Linked DNA regions of Elephas maximus indicus. The protein of the gene in region 2 interacts with the protein of the main gene of each other region in a pairwise test. Links are inferred from orthologs where the notes say so. Each region holds a gene or a part of one and is shown on either strand. Other genes may lie near its edges. The genes, in order: HAAO and GAD1.

Region 1 (11,470 bases), on a different chromosome or scaffold from region 2:
TTCCTCGTGTTGGGGCCCCCGACAAACATGATTTTGAGCTGCTCCTGGTGCCTGCAATGGATGGAGGTGGGGGGTGAGATCCTGAAGTGGCTCCTGGGAGTGAGGACAGGAGCGGGGCAGAGGCCTGTGGGGGGCAGGGAGGGAGCCGGGGGACACCTGGGGGAAGGTAGCAGGGCTGTGTGTGCACCACTGTCCCTGTTAGTCTCCCAACATGCTTGTCCCTCCTCAGCTCCCATCCTCAGCGTGTGACCGTGTGCATCTAAGGTCTGTCTGTCCATTCGTCTGTGACTGTGTGTGTCTGAGTCGCTCTGTGTGTATCTATGTGTGCATGTCTGTGTGTGTCTGCCTGGGTGTGTCTCAGTGTATTTGTGCGTGTCTGTGTCTTTGTGTATGTCCATCTGTGTGCATCTCAGGTCCCACATCGTCAGCACAGCCCCTGACCTCTGACCTAGTAGGGGGAACATCTTGGTGGGGAGCTCTCTCTTCATCAACCAGGATCCCTGGGCAGAGGCGTATCTTGGGTATGGCAGGTACGGTGCATGCCCTGGGCGCCGCTTGGGGGGAGAGGAGAGGACGTCAATGAGCAGTTTCTATTGGCCATGGTGGCTTCCTTGACCAGCTGTGAGAGATCATTCAGCAATTTAAAACTAACGGCATACCTGGGTACTCCGCTGCTGGACTATGCTCAAGATCTCCAATTACAGGAGAGCAAGCTGGGGGCCGTCTAGGGTGAAGTGGCCTTTCTCATCCTCCAGAGCTGTCTGACTATGAGAACCTCCACTCTCCAAAAACCCGCCAGGCCTGGCTCCATGGACTCAGAGTTGTGGTACGGTAGGTAAAACACACAGCTCTGGAATGAGTCTCCTGGGATCAAATTTGGCTCTCCCACGGACCTTGGGTACATTACTTAACCTTGCTGTGCCTCAGTTTCCTCATCTGTAAAATGGAGAGTTCTTCCTGAAGTTTATATGAGCTACATGAATTCGTATCTCTAAGCGCCCAGAACAGTGCCCAGCACAGAGTAAGCACCACTTAAGTGTTTGATAAAATAAATAAACCTAGTGCAACCCTCTCATTTTACAGACGCTGAAAGGGGCTCAGAGAAGGTCACAGGGCCAGGAAATTCTTTGCTTTTCCTTCTCTTTCAGGAGACAGGGCTCAATAAACAAGAAACATGCACACCTAGAGTCATGCCCAACATGTGAAAGGTCAGAGGTCACTTGGCAGGAGGAGGCTGGACTGGAGTGGTCCTGAGCTGGGCTTAAAGTTGTGGGGGGCTTTGAGGAGTGAACAGAAGCTGGGAAGCATTTGGGGAAGGGAGTGGAGGGGAAAACTGGGTACAGATGCCCTCACAGTGAAGGTGCTGGGTCCTGATGATGTGAGGAGTAGTGGCGGGGAAGGCTGGATCAGGAGGTGGGACCAAGTCTTCCAGCCTTGAGTTTGGTTTTGATCTGAGAGATACCAGGGAGGCTTGGAAATTTCTCTTTTCTTTCCTCCCTCTCTCCCTTCCTCCTTCCTTTCTTCTTTTTTAAATGAGCTTCACTGAGCTATGATTTAGAAATACACAGAAAGTTCTTGAACAAGCCCACTCAAGAACTATTTCAACCCACCACCAGTCAGATCATGCCTGTCCTCTGCTCTGGATCCTCCAGCAGCTTCTCATTTTGCTGAGAGGAAAGCCACAGTCTCTACTCTGCCTTTTGGGGCCCTGCCACATCTATGGTCCTGCCATGTCTAGGCCTCTCATATCCACCTGCCTTACTTGTTTATACTGATTAGCTGCCTCCTCCCACTAAACATCAGCTTCCTCAGGAAGGGATTTTTGTCAGTTTCGTCCCCTGCTGTATTCTCAGTGTCCACAACAGTGGCTGGCCCACAGTAGGTGCTCAGCAGATATCTGTTCACTGAGTAAAGGGAGGGGCCTGTGGTTTTGTGGTTTTTAATACTGGGGCAGGGCTGGAGAGTGTCCTGGGGGTAGAGGCAGTCAGTACTGCCTGGCTGGAGGGAGGAGCCAGGGCAGTGACCATAGTGCTGGAGGACAGCAGACCAATGTGAGATACACCCAAGGGGGGAAGGTGGAGAACTGAGAACACGTGGCTGTGGAGGGAGATAGGAGTGGAGGAAAGAGAAAAAGACAACCATAAAGCTTTGAGTTGGGGGTGACAGCAGTGATACAAGAGACAAGGTTGTTGAGGAGAGGTTGACTATTAGCCATGGTGATGTTGCATAGTGATCAAGAGTGTGGACTTTAGAGTCAAAGTGTTCCATGGACTTGCCCCATCCTACCTCTGTGACACTGGGCAGGTTACTTATTAAAATCCCACCTCATAGGGCTACTATGAGAATTACATAAGATGATGAAAAGACAGTTGGCACAGTCTGGCCTGTAGATGTGGGTGGAAATTGTTAACTGTACTGTTTGAGGTTTGAGCTATCCTGCAGGCACGTGAACATGAGCTGAGAGCTCACCAGGCCCCCCAGGGAATTGTGGGAAGAAGAGGGAGGAGATGGATACAGGCGAGGGCCTAAGAGGTCTGCCTGAGAAAGGTAGACTGAGGTCAGCCCTGTCAGGAGCTGCAGGTAGAGGTGGCTTTAGGGAGGCCTGGTGTGAGTGTGTATGGGGAAAGAGCTGGTCCTCTGACTTCACCCTTTGCGTGCAGACCTGGGTACTACTGCAACTTGGGGTCATTTAAAACCACCTTGAGGAGCTGTGGTGGGACAGTGGTTATGCACTCTGCTGCTAACCGAAGGGTCAACGATTCAAACCCACCCACCAGCCACTCCGTGGGAGGATAATGTGGCAGTTTACTTCAGTGAAGACTAACCGCCAAAGCCACTGCTGTTGAGTCGATTTCCACTTATAGCCACTCTATAGGACAGGGTAGAACTGCCCCATAGGGTTTCCAAGGCTGTAAATCTTTATGGAAGCAGACTGTTACATCTTTCTCCCTCAGAGAGGCTGATGGGTTCGAACCACCAAGCTTTCAGTTAGCAGCTGAACCCTTTAACCACTGTGCTACCCGGGCTGCTTTTGGTAAAGATTACAGCCTTGGAAACCCTGTGGGGCAGTTCTACTCTGTCCTATAAACCACCTGTCCTATAGGGTCGCTATAAATCGGAATTGACTGGTGGGCAACTAGTTTGGTTTGGTTTGGAAAATCACCCTCCTCAAACTTTCCAGTTTTCTCTAAGTGCTGGGGGGTCACTTACGGTTGGACAGCTGTTCCTCAGCCCTAAGGGGAGGAGGTGGGACTACTCCAGCCATCCGCAGAGGACAGGTCACAGTTCTTACCAAAACTATGCAGAGTCACCAGAAAGAGGAACAGATGGAGGGTGGTGGGACCCGGAACAGCGCGTCCTCACTCCCTGAAGGCACCCTGAGAATGACAGCCCCCTTCCTGCAGGCTTCGGGTGAGGGGTCAGGGTGCAGACAGAGAAGGAGGGAGAACACAAGGGTGGAAGTAGGGGTGTAGGGTGCCTGGGACTCACAGGAGCTTGTTGCAGACTGGGGGCAGGAAGGACGCCCGGTTCTCTTCCACCCAAGTCTTCACTCTCACGGGACGCTCCATGGCCTCCCCGGGAACCACGGTCTTCTCAGAGCAGTGTCCTCCCAGGCCGACGGAGGAGCGCTGCGCCACCCAGCCGCCTATTGGCCGCCCGGTTAATCAGTATCTCCAGGGTCAAAGGGCGAAGCACTCCCCCGCAAGACACCGCGATGCCGAGGGCTAGGGTCCCGCCTTTGGCCTGAAGCACCCCTACCCTCGGCGCTGCCCTGAGGCCTTGTCCTTGCTGAGCACTGGGGACTCAGCGCCGGTGGGGAGCCGGCGGGCAGGGTCCGGAGCGTGTAGGGGTCCCGCTTCACGCAGAGGCACGCCCTTCGCCCCCTACTTCTCCGCTGACTGGGGCTCCGCTCCCGGGCGGACCCCTCCCAGACCCCGCCTCACATCCTGGGGGCGCCCCCACACCCGTGCGCGAGTTAGGAGCCTGATATCAGGCGCAAGACACGGGCTCGATACCCTTCCTGGTCGCTTATCTCCAGATTTTCCATCTGGGCTCCAGAGAGGCCCCGCAAAAACACTGTGATGGGGAGCGCCTGAGTACCTGTGTGTTTGCACTGGGTTTAAGCTTCAGTTTTCCCATCTGAAAAATGGGAATGGCTGCACAACCATCTCATAGGATAGTAGCGCGCATGGAGTGGAAAGAGAATGCAAAGGGTGGCCACAGTCCCCAGTCAGTGCCCTGGTGGCTCAGTGGTCAAAAAGTTCGGCTGGTAACCAAAAGGTCAGTAGTTTAAACCACCGGCCGCTCCCTGAAAACCCTATGGGGCAGTTCCGCTCTGTCCTGTAGTGTCGACTGAGTCAGAATGTACTGGGCGGCACCGGGTTCGGGTTTGGTTTGGGTTTTCCTCTCCCGGGGAGGGAGGTCAGACCAGAGTCCGGATTTATTGAGTGCCTCGCGCTCTGCTCTGCCTTCGGGACGCCAGGAGAGGCTGGCGGGAGCCCGGCTGCGGGAGTCTGGGGCGCCGGGCTGCGGGGGTCGGCCGCGGGCGCCCAGGGCGCAGCGCGGGCACCGCGGCTCCGGGCTGGAGGGCGCAGTCTTCTCGGCTGGCCTGGTAGTGAGCACGCACGCTGTGCCCGGCGCTGAGCCCCTTACAAAACACAAAACAATCCTAGGAGGGAGGGGTCGCCGCCGTATCTTACAGACGAAGAAACGGGCCACTCTGTGTCCTCACCCTCAGGAATCTCCGAGTGTGTGTGTAAGTGCTGGGGGGGGAGGGGAGGTGGCAGACGAACCTGTGAAGATGATTCCAGTCCCGAGTGGGGAACCCTAACGCCGTTATCCTGGGGGAGGGAGAGATCTGGGGGTGTGGGTGTGGGTGTGTGGGTGTGCTGTGGAGGAAACGGGCGGGGGGTGTGGAGGAAGGCGAAAGATAATATGCCCTTCTCCCCTTTCTTCAGGACTTCAGATTCTTAGGAAAATTGCGTTTGTATGTTAGAGAGGGATGGAGTGGGGAGCTGGTGGGTGGGGAAGAAGGAAAATAGCTCAGGACCCAGACCGCAGGGTCCAGACTATATAGAGTTTAAGGCATTTTAAACTCCCCCCAACGCTTGCTCTCTCAGCCCACCTTGCCTCCTCTGTGCTGCCTGGGGTGGGCTGGTTTTGAGAGCACCCTCAGACATAGACTCCCCTGGTGGAAGAGAAAACCCAAACAGATGCCAAACAGGATTCCTCCCACCTCCTCGGGGGACCCCCGTGTCTGTTTCCTCTTCTCTCCCTTTTTCTTTTTCCTTATTTATCTAGAACATTTTAGTTGGTGTATTTCTTTCTAGAATATTGTTTGGCAGCAGAGTTAACCCCAGCCACATTCTTCATCTTTCTCATCTACCAGGAATCAGAGGCGATGTAAACAATGACACACAAAACACCGAGGATCTATGAGGTGTTATGTTGGTTTGGATGCTCGTTAAGTGGATGGATGGGTGAGTGGGTGGATGAAGGCATGAATGAATTCACACTAAAAGGGGGAAAATTTGATTTCAGCCCAACAGATGTTCAGTTACGTAGTACAAAGGAAAGAATTGATAGTTAGCCTGTATTTTAATCGATGTAGTAAAATATTGTAAATAATTGAGTCCACAGTGGAATTGGGGGGGCAGGGGTCTGAATAATCCAAATTAACCTTCTACACAGTTTAAACTACTATCAGTGTCAAATATGCCCTCTGGCTTGTGCTGTGTAGACAAAACCCTGTATCTACTCAACTGGCAAGCCACCTAGTTTGAGTGCTGGGAACCATTCAAATGCAACGTTCAGAAAACTGACAGTCCCCGTTTTATCTAGGTGTTTTGGCATCATTCAGAAGAAAGCTGTTTAAAAAATTCTAGATGTATGGGTTTTTTTTTTTTTTTCTGTTACCATTTTGTCTTTCATTTCAAATTTTATTGCCATTGTGGTGAATGAAGATGGCCTATATATTACTTTTTGGGTGGAGAAATATACTAAGATCTTCTTTGCAGCTTAGTGTTATGGTCAATTTTTATGAATGTTTCAGGTTTTTATGAAAAGAATATTCTCTGCTTATATAGTTTGCTTATGTAGGGTATTTGTCTTAGTTATCTAGTGCTTCTATAGCAGAAATATCACAAATGGCTGGCTTTAATGAACAGATATTTTCTCACTGTTTAGGAGGCTAGAAGTCCGAATTCAAGGTGCCAGTTCTAGGGGAAGGCTCACTCTCTCACTGTCTGCTCTGAGGGAAGGTCCTTGTTTCTTTTCAGCTCCTATTCTTAGGTTCCTCTGCCAACAAGTGGTGTGTACCTTCCCCTCTGTGTTTGCTTGCTTGTTTAATCTGTTCTTTTATGTCTCAAAAGAGGTTGATTTAAGACACACTCTACACTAATACTACCTCATTAACATAACAAGGAAAATCCTATTCCCAAACAGAATTATAACCACAGGTGTAACCCATGGCTGTCGAGTGGATTCCGACTCAGCGACCTGAGAGTAGAACTGCTCCATAGGGTTTCCAAGTGGTTTCAATCCAACAACTGGTAAATTCGAACTGCCAACCTTTTTGGTTAGCAACTGAACTCTTAACTACTGAGCCACCAGGGCTCCAACCACAGGTATAGGGGTTAGGATTTACAACACATATTTTTGGAGAAACAATTCAATTCGTAACATTCCTCCCTTACCCTCCCCCTTTAGCTTCCTAAAATTCACGTCCTTCCCACATGCAAAACACATTCACTCCATCATATCATCCCAAAAGTCTTAAATGAACTCTAAGACCCAAATCTCATCTTCTGAACCATCTAAATGGGTAAGACTTAAGGCATATTCCATCCCGGGGCAAAATCCCTCTTCATCTGTGAACCTGTGAAATCTAGAATACAAATTATCTGTTTCCAAAATACAGTGGTAGAACAGGCACAAGATAGACATTTAGTTCCATTACAAATGGGAGAAATGAGAGGAAAAGAAGCGATGGGCAATAAAAAAGCCCCAAACCCAACAAAACCAATTACATTGGCTCTCAAGGCTTGAAAATAATCCTCTGTTCTCTGGGACCATCTGGGCAATGGCCCCAAACTTCAGACTCAGGGTGTTGCCCAAACTGTCTACATTCTGAATGGAGGACCCTCGGCCCTGGGCTTCAGCTCCACCTTACAGGCCCAGTGAGAGGGCAACTCTGCTCCCTTAGCTTTGGGTGGCCCTCTAGCACCTTCTACTGACAAGGTCTACCACTGGCACCAGCTGGCAGAGCAGAAACATTTTCAGGGTCCAGCTCTAGTATCACAAAGCAGTGCAAAGAAGGGCATATTTGGAGCAGAAAAGCAATAAAATTGATATCTGGCACACATCCCATTTATATTCCTACAATTAGAAAAATTTTACAAGGATGTTTCCCTGCTTATGTTTTATGTATTCATAGCAGTACAAAAGGGAGCTATGATTGGGATGACCATATGTTCCAGATTGTCTGGGACAGTCAACAATTTGCACCCTATTGATCCAGTATTATTAATAGTGCGTCCTTTTGCTCTCAGAAATTGCCCTGCTTGGAGGATAAATTACATGGTCACACAAGCTATTGACGTACCAGCTTTATCAAACTAATCCTCCCACTGATTTCTCTTGTTGTTGTTAGGTGCCGTCCAGTCAGTTCCGACTCATAGTGATCCTACGCACAACAGAAAGAAACACTGCCCGGTCCTGCGCCATCCTCACAATCGTTGTTATGCTTGAGCTCATTGTTGCAGCCACTGTGTCAATCCACCTCGTTGAGGGTCTTCCTCTTTTCTGCTGACCCTGTACTCTGCCGAGCATGATGTCCTTCCCCAGAGATTGATCCCTCCTCACAACATGTCCAAAGTATGTAAGACGCAGTCTCGCCATCCTTGCTTCTAAGGAGCATTCTGGTTATACTTCTTCCAAGACAGATTTATTCGTTCTTCTGACAGTCCCTCGTATATTCAATATTCTTCGCCAGGACCACAATTCAAAGGCATCGATTCTTCTTCAGTCTTTCTTATTCATTGTCCAGCTTTCACATGCATATGATGTGACTGAAAATACCATGGCTTGGGTCAGGCACACCTTAGTCTTCAGGGTGACATCTTTGCTCTTCAACACTTTAAAAAGACCCTTTGCAGCAGATTTATCCAATGCAATGTGTCTTTTGATTTCTTGACTGCTGCTTCCATGGCTGTTGATTGTGGATCTAAGTAAAATGAAATCCTTGACAACTTCAATCTTTTCTCCATTTATCATGATGTTGCTCATTGGTCCAGTTGTGAGGATTTTTGTTTTCTTTATGTTGAGGTGCAATCCATACTGAAGGCTTTGGTCTTTGATTTTCATTAGTAAGTGCTTCAAGTGCTCTTCACTTTCAGCAAGCAAGGCTGTATCATCTGCATAAAGCCGGTTGTTAATGAGTCTTCCTCCAATCCTGATGCCCTGTTCTTCTTCATGTAGTCAGTCCAGCTTCTCGGGTTATTTGTTCAGCATACAGATTGAATAGGTATGGTGAAAAAATACAACCCTGGCACACACCTCTCCTGACTTTAAACCAATCGGTATCCCCTTGTTCTGTCCGAACAACTGCTTCTTGACCTATGTAAAGGTTCCATATGAGCACAATTAAGTGTTCTGGAATTCCCATTCTTCACAATGTTGTCCATAATTTGTTAGGATCCACACAGTAGAATGCCTTTGCATAGTCAATAAAACACAGGTAAACATCCTTCTGGTATTCTCTGCTTTCAGCCAGGATCCATCTGACATCAGCAATGATATCTGTGGTTCCGCGTCCTCTTCTGAAACCGGCCTGAATTTCTGGCAGTTCCCTGTCGATATACTGCTGCAGCCGTTTTTGAATGCTCTTCAGCAAAATTTTGCTTGCGTGTGATATTAATGATATTGTTCTATAATTTCCACATTCGGTTGGATCACCTTTCTTGGGAATAGGCATAAATACAGATCTCTTCCAGTCAGTTGGCCAGGAAGCTGTCTTCCATATTTCTTGGCATAGACGAGTGAGCACCTCCAGTGCTGCATCCGTTTGTTGAAACATCTCAAATGATATTCCATCAATTCCTGGAGCCTTGTTTTTTTGCCAATGCCTTCAGAGCAGCTTGGGCTTCTTCCTTCAGTACCATCGGTTCCTGATCATATGCCACCTCTTGAAATGATTGAACATTGACTAATTCTTTTTGGTATAATAACTCTGTGTATCCCTTCCATCTTCTTTTGATGCTTCCTGCATCATTTAATATTTTCCCCATAGAATCGTTCACTATTGCAACTCGAGGCTTAAATTTTTTCTTCAGTTCTTTCAGCTTGAGAAACATCGAGTGTGTTCTTCCCTTTTGGTTTTCCATTTCCAGCTCTTTGCACATGTCATTATAATACTTTGTCTTCTCGAGCCGCCCTTTGAAATCTTCTGTTTGGTTCTTCTTCATCAATTCTTCCTTTTGCTTTAGGTGCTCGATGTTTGAGAGCAAGTTTCAGAGCCTCCTCCGACATCCATCTGGGTCTTTTCTTTCTTTCCTGTCTTTTCAATGACCTCTTGCTTTCTTCATGGATGATGTCCTTGATGTCATTCCACAACTCTTCTGGTCTTTGGTCACCAGTGTTCAATGCGTCAAACCTATTCTTCAGATGGTCTCTAAATTCAGGTGGGATATACTCAAGGTCATATTTTGGCTCTTATAGACTTGCTCTGATTTTCTTCAGTTTCAGCTTGAACTTGCACATGAACAACTGATGGTCTGTTCCAGGTCGGCCCCTGGCCTTGTTCTGACTGATGATATTGAGCTTTTCCATTGTCTCTTTCCACAAATGTAGTCAATTTGATTTCTGTGTGCTCTATCTGGCGAGGTCCATGTGTATAGTTGCCCCACATGTCTGTCAGTTTGTCGTACTGTGGGGGCTTGCATGTTGCTGTGATGCTCAAGCTATGCCACTGGTATTCAGATACCAGCAGGGTCACCCATGGAGGACAGGTTTCAGCTGAGCTTCCAGACTAAGACAGACTAGGAAGAAGGACCTGGCAGTCTACTTCTGAGAAGTATTAGCCAGTGAAAACCTTATGAATAGCAACGGAACACTGTCTGATATAGTGCTGGAAGATGAGCCCCCCAGGTTGGAAGGCACTCAAAAGATGACTTGGGAAGAGCTGCCTCCTCAAAGTAGAGTCAATCTTAATGACGTGGATGGAGTAAAGCTTTCGGGACCTTCATTTGCTGATGTGGCATGACTCAAAATGAGAAGAAACAGCTGCAAACATCCATTAATAATCAGAACCTGGAATGTACGAAGTATGAGTCTAGGAAAATTAGAAATCATCAAAAATGAAATGGAATGCATAAACATCGATATCCTAGGCATCAGTGAACTGAAATGGACTGGTATTGGCCATTTTGAATCAGGCAATCTTTTAGTCTACTATGCTGGGAATGACAACTTGAAGAGGAATGGTGGTGTATTCATCGTCAAAAAGAACATTTCAAGATCTATCCTGAAGTACAATGCTGTCAGTGATAGGATAATATCTATACTCCTACAAGGAAGACCAGTTAATACGACTATTATTCAAATTTACACATCAACCACTAGGGACAAAGATGAAGAAACAGAAGATTTTTATCAGCTGCTGCAGTCTGAAATTGATCGAACATGCAATCAAGATGCATTGATAATTACTGGTGATTTTAACACGAAAGTTGGAAACAAAGAAGGATCTCCCACTGACAGTAGCCAGAAATTCTGTAAATATATATATATAATTTTTTTATAGGAAACCCTGGTGGCGTAGTGGTTAAGAACTACATCTGCCAACCAAAATGTCAGCAGTTCGAATCCACCAGGTGCTCCTTGGAAACTCTATGGGGCAGTTCTACTCTGTTCTATAGGATCACTATGAGTTGGAATCAAATCGATGGCAACGGGTGCGTGTATATACATAAAATCTATTTGAAGCCAAAAGCAAAGAAGTTTCCTGAATAAACTGAATGCTTCGAAGGCCAGCATAGGAGGGGTGGGGGTTTGGGGACCATGGTTTCAGGGGACATCTAAGTCAATTGGCATAATAAAATCTATTAAGAAAACATTCTGCAACCCACTTTGAAGAGTGGCATCTGGAGTCTTAAACGCTAGCATGCGGCCATCTAAGATGCATCAATTGGTCTCAACCCACCTGGAACAAAGGAGAATGAAGAACACCAAGGACACAACATAATTATGAGCCCAAGAGACAGAAAGGGCCACATAAACCAGAGGCTACATCAGCCTGAGACCAGAAAAGCTAGATGGTGCCCAGCTATAACCGATGACTGCCCTGACAGGGAACACAACAGAGAACCCCTGAGGGAGCAGGAGAGCAGTGGGATGCAGACCCCAAATTCTCATAAAAAGACCATACTTAATGGTCTGAGACTAGAAGGACCCCCAGACCTTCTGTTGGCCC
Region 2 (11,224 bases):
CGTGCCTGACCCGCGGCCCCACGTCCCCGCCTGCGCTCTTTCCCTTCTCTCTTCGCCAGCGAGGGCACGCCTGGCAAACCCTCGGGCTTTGACCGCCGCCACCTCCCCCAAAAAGGCCACTGAGGACTGCAGGCTATCTTTTCCCTTTGCCTCGGAGGCCCCCAAAACGAAACCTGAATCCGTTACAGCATCTCGGGGCAAAAACCTCAAGTCCGGAAGGCCACTTTCAATGCGCCCAGACAGGGGACCGAAGGGAGGTGGAATTGGCGGAGGAGAGAATGGGGCGACGGGTCACTAACCGGTTTAGGCAGATAATGCGCCTTTGGCCTGCTCGCCAGGAAAGCCAGAGCAGTTCACGTTTTCTATTTAGCCTTGGAGACGCGGACCGAGCGCACCTGCCAGGGTGGCCCAGGCACTGGCAGGGAGAGCTGGGCTACCGCGCGGGGGCACTGCCCTCGCGCTTTTGTGCCCAGATCTGACACCCGGTGGTCCCTCAACTGGGTCTCACGTGGTCTGGGCTCCAGGGGAAAAGGCCTTGGGAGGGCGGAGGTGGTTCAGGGCCTTGTGGGAGCGTCTCCGTCGGGCGTGGGGTCTGCAGGTACCTTAGAAAACCAGACCCAAGAGCCGAGATCCCCCTCCACATGCGTTCTACTCTCCACACAGACAAGGCCTGCGCGTCCCTCCAGCCCCCGCTGGCCCTTTCACTTACCGCAGATCTTGAGCCCCAGTTTTCTGGTGCATCCATGGGCCACGCCGCACCAGGTGTCATACGCTAAGACGAGAGAGAGCGAGAGAGGTGCGGTCAGTGCAGCTCGGACTATGGGGGACAGGGTCAAGGGCAAAGGTTTTCTCGGGGGGCGGGGATTCCTTTCCACTGTCCCTTATTAGAAGGTCCTTCCTGAAAGGAGCAGATAAGATTTGTGGCAGACGAGCAGACGCGTGCCCTACGAGCCCTCATCACACCCCCTTCCTCCTCCCGCCTTCAGGTACCGACAGTGTTTCTGCGAGGCGGCACATCCAGCGCCCCTGCCAGACCCCAAGGTACCCCGGGGGGAGTCAGGGAGGCGGGGTCGGGAGGGGCGGAGCCGACTCCGCTCGGAAACCGCCAAGCCTCGTGGTCCACAACCCCAACCCGCCAGGCCCTGCCCCCTGGTCTCTGCCCCTCAGACTCCAAGGACGACCACAGCAGCCCAGAAAGGGAACACCGAGGCATCTGGGACCGAAACGTCTCATAATTTCTTGGCGGGTCTCCAGCCGAGTGGCAGCTTAAAATAAACTGGCATGAAATGGGGTCGCCGAAGAGTTCAAGAATTAATTGGGTGAAAAACAGTATTTGACTAGATAATCGGGCTCGCATGACTGCCCTTCAGTCGGACCAGGAGTCGGGAAGACATCAGTGCGCCTCCGGTCCTCATCCCTGACCTCCCTTCCCAACCTGCCCCTCATTAACCCTTCCGGCATCTGTGCCCCAGACCTGAGTCTCGAGCATTTCAGGCCCGGAGCAGGCAAAAGCGAAGAAAAGCAGGAATTTTCCTCTAGGGCCGAGCCGTGGCCCCAAGGGCGACCGGATTAGCTGTTCTCAGGGTCTACCTGCCTTCGGGTTCAGCTTGCAGCAATGAGCAAGGAAAGCAGCCCCATGCCTGTACGGCCTGCGTCGCCGTCTGGGTCCGTGTGGTGGGCCCTGAGCGAAATCCCCTTCCAATACTTCATAACGCCTCCAATCACTCCCATCCCCACCCCCACCCCGGCCCGCGCCTCTAGCTCAGCGCGAGTGTTAACTGTGATAAGGAGAGTGACATCCATTAAATCCCAGGCACAACAGAGACACAGCGGGGAGAGGAAATAGCCCGACGTCGGTAAGACAGCATGTCACAGATGGGGTTCCACGACAGACAGGAAATCGGTGCGAAAGCAAAACCCTAATATTAATACCTGGCGGGTATTGAACTATTTCCACCAGATAAACACTACTTCATCTAACCCTCTTAACGACCCTATGAAACAGGTAGGAGGAGTGTTAATCTAAGACCTATTTTGCAAATAACATTAAGGCTCAGAGAGGGCAAGTAAGTTTTCCAAGGTCACCCAGCTGGGAGGCTGGAGTTCAGACACATTGCACTGCCTTTCAGAATTGGGGGCTTCAGCAAGAGAAAAAGGGGGACGAGCAGAGGGAGCTAGAGAGCTTCCGTGGTGTAGCGACAGTCCGGAAGACCGAGGGGCCGAGGTCAAGGAGGACTCCGTCCCGGAACCAGATGATCGCTGGAGCAAAAGGCCAATAAGGTCGTGCGGGCTGAGCAAAGCCACCTCCCAGGAGACCTGAGAGAGGCAGAGAAGCGGAGACCGCTAGGCGGGCGAAGGTAAGTCTGCAGGGAGGGCCGGAGCGGGAGAAGAGCAGGACATACGCTTGCATTCTACTGTGCGACTAGGGGTGGGCTATTAGGGGGCGGTTGCTGCCTGCTCTTCTCTGGCCGGACCTCGGCTCTCTTCCCTCCGCCTCGGCGGTTCCGAGGCGCCCCTGGCCGCGTGCCGACTAGGGTCAGTGCCTCTGTTGGGTCTTAACCCTAGGCCGGGCATTTACATGCCGCGGCCGGCGGGCGCCGAGAAGTGGGAGCGCACGACCAAGGGAGAAATGACTCTAGTAGGAAGGATGAAAGCAGCAGCCGCCAAGCCCTGCCGGGCAGCAAAAAATGGGGTGGGAAATGCAGGGAGGACAGGAAAAGAGGAGGACAGACAAAAGGCACACAAGCCTCTCGTTCTTCTGGGGCTGTTCGGTCCAGCTCTGCCTCCGGTGCCACCAAGCCTGGGGGCGCTCCGGAGCCCCTCTTTGTTGTGTGGGTAATTTTAGCCTGCCTGGGGGTTATGGGCTGAGGGAGGGGGAGGCAGTCTCAAAGGGAACTGGAACGCAGCCTGAGGACTTAAGACAAGGCCTTATGCCTGGGAGCCAGTGACTGCGCCAAGGAGCTGGAGAGGGGGCTTACCGCTAACAGCCCCCTCCCTTTGTTGATTATGAAAACTGACATTTTCTCAAGTTTATAGGAAGCGACATAAAAGCACAGCAATAAGCTCCTTCTAAACCACAAGCTTGTTCCTAAACCCTTTCTATAAAAAAATTCTGAGGCCCTTACGGTCTGCAGCTGATAGATTTGTGTGTGTGTGTGAAGACATTTTAATTTAACATAGAAAAAGAAAAGCAATCCTCTTATCCCCAGGCCTCTAAAGAGAGGTAGGGAATCAATCAATTAAAGACACATTCTGGAAACCGGCTGAAGAACGAGCTCAGCTAGAGGTAGGGCAGCGAAAATCCCCCCTTCCTCTTCCTCCAACTTCCGGGCGTGTCTCCTGCTGACAGGTCTCCTACACCGGAGAAAGGAGAGGGGAGTTCTCTCCGCCCGCCCTAGCAAACCTTCCTGTTCCTCCCGTCCCCCCTTCCTCGCCACTCAGTATGCTGCCCACTTTTTTTTTTTTTTTTTGTCTCTGAGATGTAATTAATTGTCTGAAATGTCGAGGCTCAGCCTCCAGCCGTTTTATGCACCTTTCCCGCCCCTGGCTTCTCCCTCACTCGTCAATAGCTCAACGCAAATTTGGAGCAATTAGGGACTCTGAGTTTTCTAAAAGCTGCAATTAACGTCGACATTTCCGCTGATTATAGACTGTGAGCACAGCGCTGGGAGAAGGGAGGAGGTCAGATCTAGACCCAGCGAAAGCCCGAGAGAGAAAATTTTTTATCCCGGTTGGGGCTCTCAGCTTCTCACACCTCCCCCTGCCCTGACCCTCGTTGTCCCGCAGCGCAAGGAAACCACACACAGTACAACAAAAACAACACTCACGCCTCAGGTCCTTCCCTCGCAGTGGAGCCCCCAACCATCGCCAGTGCAGCGACCTTGCACGTCTATCGCTCTCGGGCGCCCAGGGAGCCGCCCAGCGTCTCCGGCAGCCGAGTGACCTCTGGCCGGGCCCCGGGTCAGAGCCCTATTTATTTCCCGGCCTCCATCATCTCCGCGCTCCTCCTCTTTCTGCCAACGCAGCCTCCCCAACTCCCAGTGCCTTCATCTTTCCCGCAGTCCATTTGACCGGAAACTAGGGCGGGACCTACTTGTGGGGCGCAGGTTGCTAGTATTGGGGTCCGCTCCCGCGTTCGAGGCGGCGGCGGATGAGGAAGGGGTCGAAGACGCCATCAGCTAGTTCGTCGCGAGGCCTCTGCTGTCCGGAATCCTCGGTGGGTTGGGCGCAGAAAAAGGCTGCAAAGAGAAACGAGAGCTGTGCGTGGAGGGCTTTGGGGATTCGCGCGCGAAAGATAGCTGAGCCGCTGGGGACACGGACGCTCGGGCTGGAGTCCCCAAGCACAAGAGAAAGGAGGGAGGAAAGGCAGCGAGTGCGCTGGGCTGGGGTGGGCCGGAGGGAGGAGAAGACTTGCGTGCGAGATCGGAGACTGGGGCGCTGGCAACGCAGCCCCGGGCGGCTCTCCAGTCCCGCGCAGCGGGAAGACCTGGAGCGCAGTGCTGAGACGAGGGGGCCCAAGGCCTGTGAGCGTCGCGTGGGTACGGGGGACCGGGCTAGGATGGCAAAGGAGGATAGTGTGCGATTTTTCGAGCCGAGCCTCGACAAGCCCCATTGGGCTTTCAGCTGCGGGCGGGCTGGCAGGCAGGCGGGGGGAGCGCGCACAGGGCGGGCACGTCTGGTTCGGTGTCTGGTTCCCGTTGTTGTGTCTGGCTAATTCCCTGGAAAGAAGGATGCTATCTGCTCCGGGGACCGGGGACCTTGGTGAGGCCAAGTGAGAGGGGGAAAAAAAGGCCGATTCCTTTACATTCTCTCTTGGACTTGGCTGGGGAAGAACCACGGTCACCCTGCACTCCAGACAGCCAGAAAGCAGCGGGTCGGAACCTCCTTCGTCTCGCTCTCGTCCCACCCCTCTTTGAGCCATCTGGAAGCCTAGGGCGAGGTACAGCTCTGATTTCAGTGTTTTCCCCTGCACCCAGCTCCCCGAGAACCCCACATTTCTCGCCATACAGACCCAAGGGGGTGGAAGAGGCAAAAAAGGGAAGAATTACCAGAGAAACGAACTTGCACCCAGCGCGCAGGAGGCGGCAGACAAGAAAAGAACTGTGCGCGGCGCGACACTTGGGCGCGCGGCGTTGGCGCGATGGCGTTCGAAAGCCCCGGGACAGAGAGAGTGCAGGCGAATCTGGGTAGACCTAAGACCTTGCAGAGGAGCGTGGGCGGGCCGCCACCTCCACTAGCCCAGGACCCCACGCTTAGCCCCGCGCGCGCACTCGTACAGAGCTTACAGTAACGCCGGGCTGCTGGCAGATCGCGGCTGCTGGGGAAGTAACAGGTTACCACTCCGAGACGCACCTTGTGTTGCTGCTGCGTGCTGCCCCTTGCCGACACCGGCATTCTCAGCCGCGAGAAGCAGGGAAAAATCTCTCTAGCCCTACGTCAGCACGAGGCGTGAATCCTGCCTAGGGCGGGGGTAGGAAGAGTGCGGGGGGCGGAGGTCTCTGAGCCCGGCACCAACCGAGAGCCTGGGCTGGGGCGGGCGGGACGCATTCCCCTCGCTAGGGAATAGGGATGGGTGACCGAGAATCTACAGGCGAAAAAGTCCCAGCCGAATGGCAGAGGCTGGGAGCTGGGGAAGTCCGGGCGGCGACGCGCTTACCCACCTAGACTCGGCTGCCACCAGCCAGGCGCTCCCGACGCTCTTCCGCGCAGCGCGCAGAAAACCTCTCAACACCTCCTGGCCGGATCCTGCCCCAGGCGTAATCTGCCCGGCGTCACCTCCAGCCGCCGCCTGCCTCTAGCTGGCTCTGTCCCGCACGCGAGCCTCAATAGGAGAAGAGAGAGATCCGGAGAGGCGGCTGCTTGGCTTCGGGGGAGGCGGGGGCGGAGTGGGGAGGCGGGGACCCGCTCCGCGGGGGAATCACGAGGCAGCTGCTTGCGGGGGCCGCTTGTCGGCAAAGCGGCGGGGTACTTTGCAGGTGCCTGACCGCCTCTGGAGCTTTATAGGGCGATTATAAATACAGATCACGGTTTTCCCCCCGGGGGGTGGGGAAAAAGGCCCTATGAGTAATCCAGTACGTACTCAACATGCTCTTTTTTTTTTTTTTTAAGTAGGCAAGGTGTCGGGTGACAGGAGGGAAAAGATAATTCCTATGAATTCCGCCACCCTGAGCGCTTCTTCTCCCCGCCCCCCGCCCCCCAATATCTCCCAGAAGACCGGAGCAGTGGGTTTGCCTGAATCACTTTCCCCCAGATCTGCGAAAACGCGCCCTGGGTCGTGTCCTTTCTGGCTCTCCGCTGAGCCACAATTGTTGTAGAGCCAAAGGAGACAGAGATGAGGGGGAAATGCTCAGACCATAGGAGAACCTTCATCTCCTCATCCCCGTTTCCTCAACCACCTGGGGTCTCTAGAAAGTAGAGCCGCCTCACCTGAGAACAACCACCCGGTGCCACCGGCAGAGAAACGGCCTCTTTTTCCATTCAGTGTGCGTTCCCTTCCTAGCTCTGGCCACCTTGGTGGTAGGGGAAAGGAGCCCTCCTGATTGATCACGTCTGAAGGTTAATAACACGCACGAGCGCCGCTCCTAATGCAAGAGAAAGCCGAGCACAGAGGTGACGCCGGGGATCTGCCTGAGGGCGGACTGCCCTCCCGCCTTGGCCCACTCCCCTCACTCTCCTTTCGATTTCACGCCGTTTTAGGATTCTCTTGTTGCAATATTTAAACATATTTAATGCATTGTTGTGTTTGGAAATTCCCCTCGCAACAAAAAGGCGTTCATCGAAAAATTTCCCACCAGAGGGCGCCAGGCGCCCAGAGACCGAGAGGCCCTTTGCTCGCCTGGTCTTTTCTTGGGCACCCAAACCAACACCTCGAGAGGCTGGCGGGGCTCTATAACTCGCTCATCCCTCAGCTACCCTCTTCACTAGCATATGTTCTCTCTTTTCCTCTCGCTCGGTTTCCTTTCCTTTAGGTCAAAACAAAGTGGTGGTGGGGGGCGGGGCGGTGAGACCATGTAACCAATTATCTCTTTCCTCGTTTTCACAGATTTTCCCCTTTGCGGTGCAGCAGGCTGCGGTTATTTATAGTACATCTGGGGCCCGGCTGGCCCGTCCCTTCTCTTTGAATGACTTATCGCCTTTCACCACGACACAGTGGAAACGCCGAAAGTCTTACAAATCACCGAAAATTCCTTAAGGAAGATAGAAGATGCCGCCCTGAGGAGTTACAGTCCGATCACCAAGAGGGAGCTCAATGTGAGGATTGAAATAACCGCGTTGCCCTTGATATTAAGGAAAATACCGTTACCTTCTCTACACCTCTTAAGAAAAGCCCGGGCACTTTTTAATGACACCAATGCATCCTGAACCGCAGGCTCTGGGTTACCGCAGCCCGCCGGGGCGCCAGAGCTCCGGGCTGGGCAGGGTGGGCGTGCTCGCTCTGTGCAGGAAACGTTCCCCTAAACCGCCCAGGTTCTCCACGTCGTTTGAGATGCACGATTAACCACCAAGCGAAGCGCCGAATTTCACCTACACCTAAGACCCTTTCTCAAGCTTTACCTAAAAGAAATCACAAATCAGGGAGTCCTGTGACAATGCTAAATCATTCAAGACGCGAGGGACAAGGAGACGGGCCGGAGGAGGCTACAATCCCGGTGTCCCTCAGTGTCCACTCTCCCTAGAAGACGCTTGCTTGCCCTCCATCTCCTCACCTTCTCCCAAGTCCTGAGATTCCTCAGAAAGGAAGATTCGTTTACTTCACCTGTGGCACCAGATTGAGAACATTTCAACTACTTCCTCCTCTGACCCCAGCGTCACAAACGCTCACTTCCAACGTTTTAGCCAGCAAAATAATCTCATGGGGGGCGAGGGGAGAGTCTTCCACAAGGCTAGATATCCGTTGCCATCGAGTCTACTCCTACTCATAGCGACCCTATAGGACAGAGTAGAACTGCCCCATAGGGTTTCCAAGGAGCGGCAGGTGGATTTTAACTGCCAACCTTTTGGTTAGCAGCCGCAGCTCGCTGTAGCTCTTAACCACTGTGCCACCAGGGCTGTAGGTATCACAGATTAAAAGTGAGTGCCCCCCTCTTTCTCCGCTGTGGTGGGAAGGGAGCAATGAAGGCCCTAGTTCGTCGTTAATTTAAAAATGTTTCTTAGTAATCAGTTAGCTAAACGACGATTTATTAATCACCTACTACCTGCCAGACCTGGTGGCTAGTGGCTGAGAGTTAGGTTGCTAACCAAAAGGTCAGCAGTTCGAATCCACCAGCAGCTCCCTGGAAACCCTATGGGGCAGTTCTACCCTGTCCTATAGGGTCGCTATGAGTCGGAATTGACTCATGGCAACAGGTTTGGGTTTTTTATGTGCCAGGTACTGTTCTCGTGGAGCTTACATTGCCCCTAGTGCTCTCTGAACTCATGACGTTGACTTTCCAATTAGGCAGGGAGAGTGGCAGACTTGGCACATTATGGCTTTGATTTACTTTTCAATTGTCTCCCACTTTTTTTTTTCAACGCAGACTCAGCGGGGATGGGAAGGGACGGAGGCCTGGAATTCCATCCAATCCCAGTTATTCAGCATTGAGGCCGGGCCCAGCTCATTCAGCACCATGGACAGCGTCCGCTGTTCGGTTCAGTCTAGCCCTCTGTTTCGCTGGCTTCCGCCAGTAGCTCTTTGCCAACCCTCTGGGCTCCTGTCTACCTCCCTCCCGGCAGAAGATCCTGCGTTTGTTTTGTTAGGTTGGAGAGTGCGGTGTTTTACCCCTCCGCTCCCTGGTTAGGATTTGGGCTAAGGGTGGCCGTGTTGTCTTTTGGCCCTTCAAAACATTTGGAATCCGTCTTTTTGTTTGTGTTTTCATTTTTCTTTTTATCTTTTATTGCGGGGGAGGCGGGGAGGTTGTTTTGGATAATGGGGGTGGAAAAAAGAAATCCTCTTCAGGGACTGGAACCGGAGGTGAAGTGTGGGCCGGAAAGGAGTGGTATCCGCCCAGCTGTTTCATTTCCATTTGATCTAAGGTTTAGTGCTTTGAAGAAATAGGAACACTGAACCAGAGACAGAAGAAGGAGTGGGCGCTCTGCGACCCTTCCAGTCTCTCCCGGGCGTTGGGGATTTGATAGCCCGCGGCTCCAGCGGCTCCATTCTGTCCTCCAAGGACAACCTTCCCTTAGGTCAAGGATGGCTGAGACCTGAGAACGCGACCCTCCGCCTAGAATGCCCTTTCCCCAGGAGGTTTAAAGATACTCCAACCGGATTGGGGGGCCAAGCCTTTCCCGCAAAGCAAAAACGGGGTTGGGAGGAGCGTTGGCGTGGAAGAGGCGCCCAAACGGGCTGAGGGGGAGGTTTTGACGTATAAAATATGGTCCGCGTCAAGGTGAGTAGATAAGAAACGTCAATCTTTTTTTTTTTTTTTTTTGGAGCATTTAGCATTTTTAGCATTCAGGAAAGGTAATTTAGACCTACGGGGTTGGTTCGTTTTAGCTGGCTCGTTAAAGTCTATTTTAAGTCTCTATGATCAAAAAAGAAAAAAAAATGGCAGAGCTCACCGTTTAAACGGCTGTCTGCCGATACAGGCGCTGCTTGGAAACTCCATGGGGCAGTTCTACTCTGCCCTATAGGGTCGCTATGAGTCGGAATCGACTCGATGGCAGTGGGTTTGGTTTTGGTTTTTGGTCTCCCGATACAAAGGTTGGGGAAAGGGTTGCTTAACCTTACATTCGGCTTTTAAGCGGGAGCTAATATTCATTCGATGTGTTCGTGTACCTTAAAGATAGTTTCCCAAATCATTTTTTACCTTCATTGATAGTTAATCAACACCCCCAGTCTGACAGACCGCACAACACTCACTCCAGCGACATAGGAAAGGGTTAAAAGAGTGACAGGGGAGGCAGGGTTCTAGCCAGAACGCTAGACAGGACTCCGGAAATTACAACAATGTCCCAAAGGGAAGATAGTTAAATTCCTCAGATAATTGTCAAAGGGTCCCTTCTCCCTTGATGTCCGTAAGATGAAAATATTCTAATATTAAAGAAATTAATCAAAGACGACAGTGATTTACGTTTGGGCAAATATTGTGCAAACCTTTAAGACCCCGATTCTTGCTATTCCAAACATGAAGACAAAGTGACCACCAGATGGCGTTAGATTACAATTTCTGAGACGAAACAACGGGCCCCACAAGGCAACAGTTCAAGGAAGACAGAAGGCTCTTCCCAGTTCACGCTCAGACCCTCCGTATTTCACAAAGCAGGGCCCTTAATGCTGGGAGATGCTGCCCAGAAGTGGCCTAGAACACCCTGGGTCTCCTCTCCTTTAGATGAAACAGAAGGGAGTGCATGAAATCCACTTTCTTTCTTACACAGCTCCCTCCCAAAGGTGGCCTTAGGAAGGGAACCCCTTTATACTAGGCAAGAAGTTGTTTCACTGCAGAACTGAAAGTCAAGGAAATAAATCTGGACTGAAATTCTAACAGGGAGCTTTAGAGATGTATTTGTGTTTTCCGCTGTCCTCTCACCAAAAACTAAGGCAAAATCAATCCTTTCCCAGAAGAGTGGGATGAAAGAAAGATCATTTCCCACATGACATGCTTTAGTGGAGTAAGTGTATTTAATGGGAGTCCAGGCACAGTAATATTTTATCCATTTCTTTAGGTAAAAAAAAAGCTCTTCAGTTAAAATAACAACCCATTTTCAGACTTAGGTCTGGAAGTTTGACTTGTGGGGAATGATAAACTTCAGACCAGTTTCCTTTCATAACCTTGACCAGTTATGGGGAAGAGAAAACTGGAAACTTACCAGGAGCAATTCAGTATTGCCACACCAGCCTAGTCCCCTTCATGCCAAAAACTTACATCTAAGAGCTCACTGGGATGCATTCAGGCCCAGTGTTTTCACTTGTATCATTTGGAAATCAGTACCAGGGAATTTTCGGAAAGCAGTCGGTCATCTGGAGTTCATTCTATCTTACCCTCAGTTGCAAGTTTGAGGTCCTTTTTTTTCTTTTTGCCCATAGGTGAGCCATGGGCATTTTAGATCCAAACAACTTAGAATCTCAAGCAGTTCTTAAGTGTGAGGATTAAATAAGAATTGTTATCTTCTCACTAGGGCTATAGGCAGGGATAAGCCAGGGACAAGCATCAGAACTTGGGGAGTCTTGAACTATTAAAACTTTGTTTTCATTTCTGTAGATCAGGACTGTATACCTAATCACACCCCAACCCTACTGATGCTG

What was found.
Region 1: the proteins of GAD1 (region 2) and HAAO interact in a two-hybrid assay, tested with the Homo sapiens proteins (4 studies listed by BioGRID and IntAct). The two-hybrid records come from large-scale screens. The link is inferred for Elephas maximus indicus from reciprocal best matches to the Homo sapiens genes GAD1 and HAAO.

The regions. Positions count from the first base shown.
Region 1 is NC_064844.1:19,957,736-19,969,205, reverse strand, and holds the start of HAAO (3-hydroxyanthranilate 3,4-dioxygenase), read right to left. Parts: upstream 4,658-11,470; 5' UTR 3,570-4,657; coding exon 3,490-3,569; exon of another isoform or gene 3,211-3,489; intron 970-3,210; exon of another isoform or gene 449-969; intron 52-448; coding exon 1-51. UniProt on the Homo sapiens protein: Catalyzes the oxidative ring opening of 3-hydroxyanthranilate to 2-amino-3-carboxymuconate semialdehyde, which spontaneously cyclizes to quinolinate.
Region 2 is NC_064824.1:69,066,764-69,077,987, reverse strand, and holds the start of GAD1 (glutamate decarboxylase 1), read right to left. Parts: upstream 4,198-11,224; 5' UTR 4,176-4,197; coding exon 4,094-4,175; intron 773-4,093; coding exon 710-772; intron 1-709.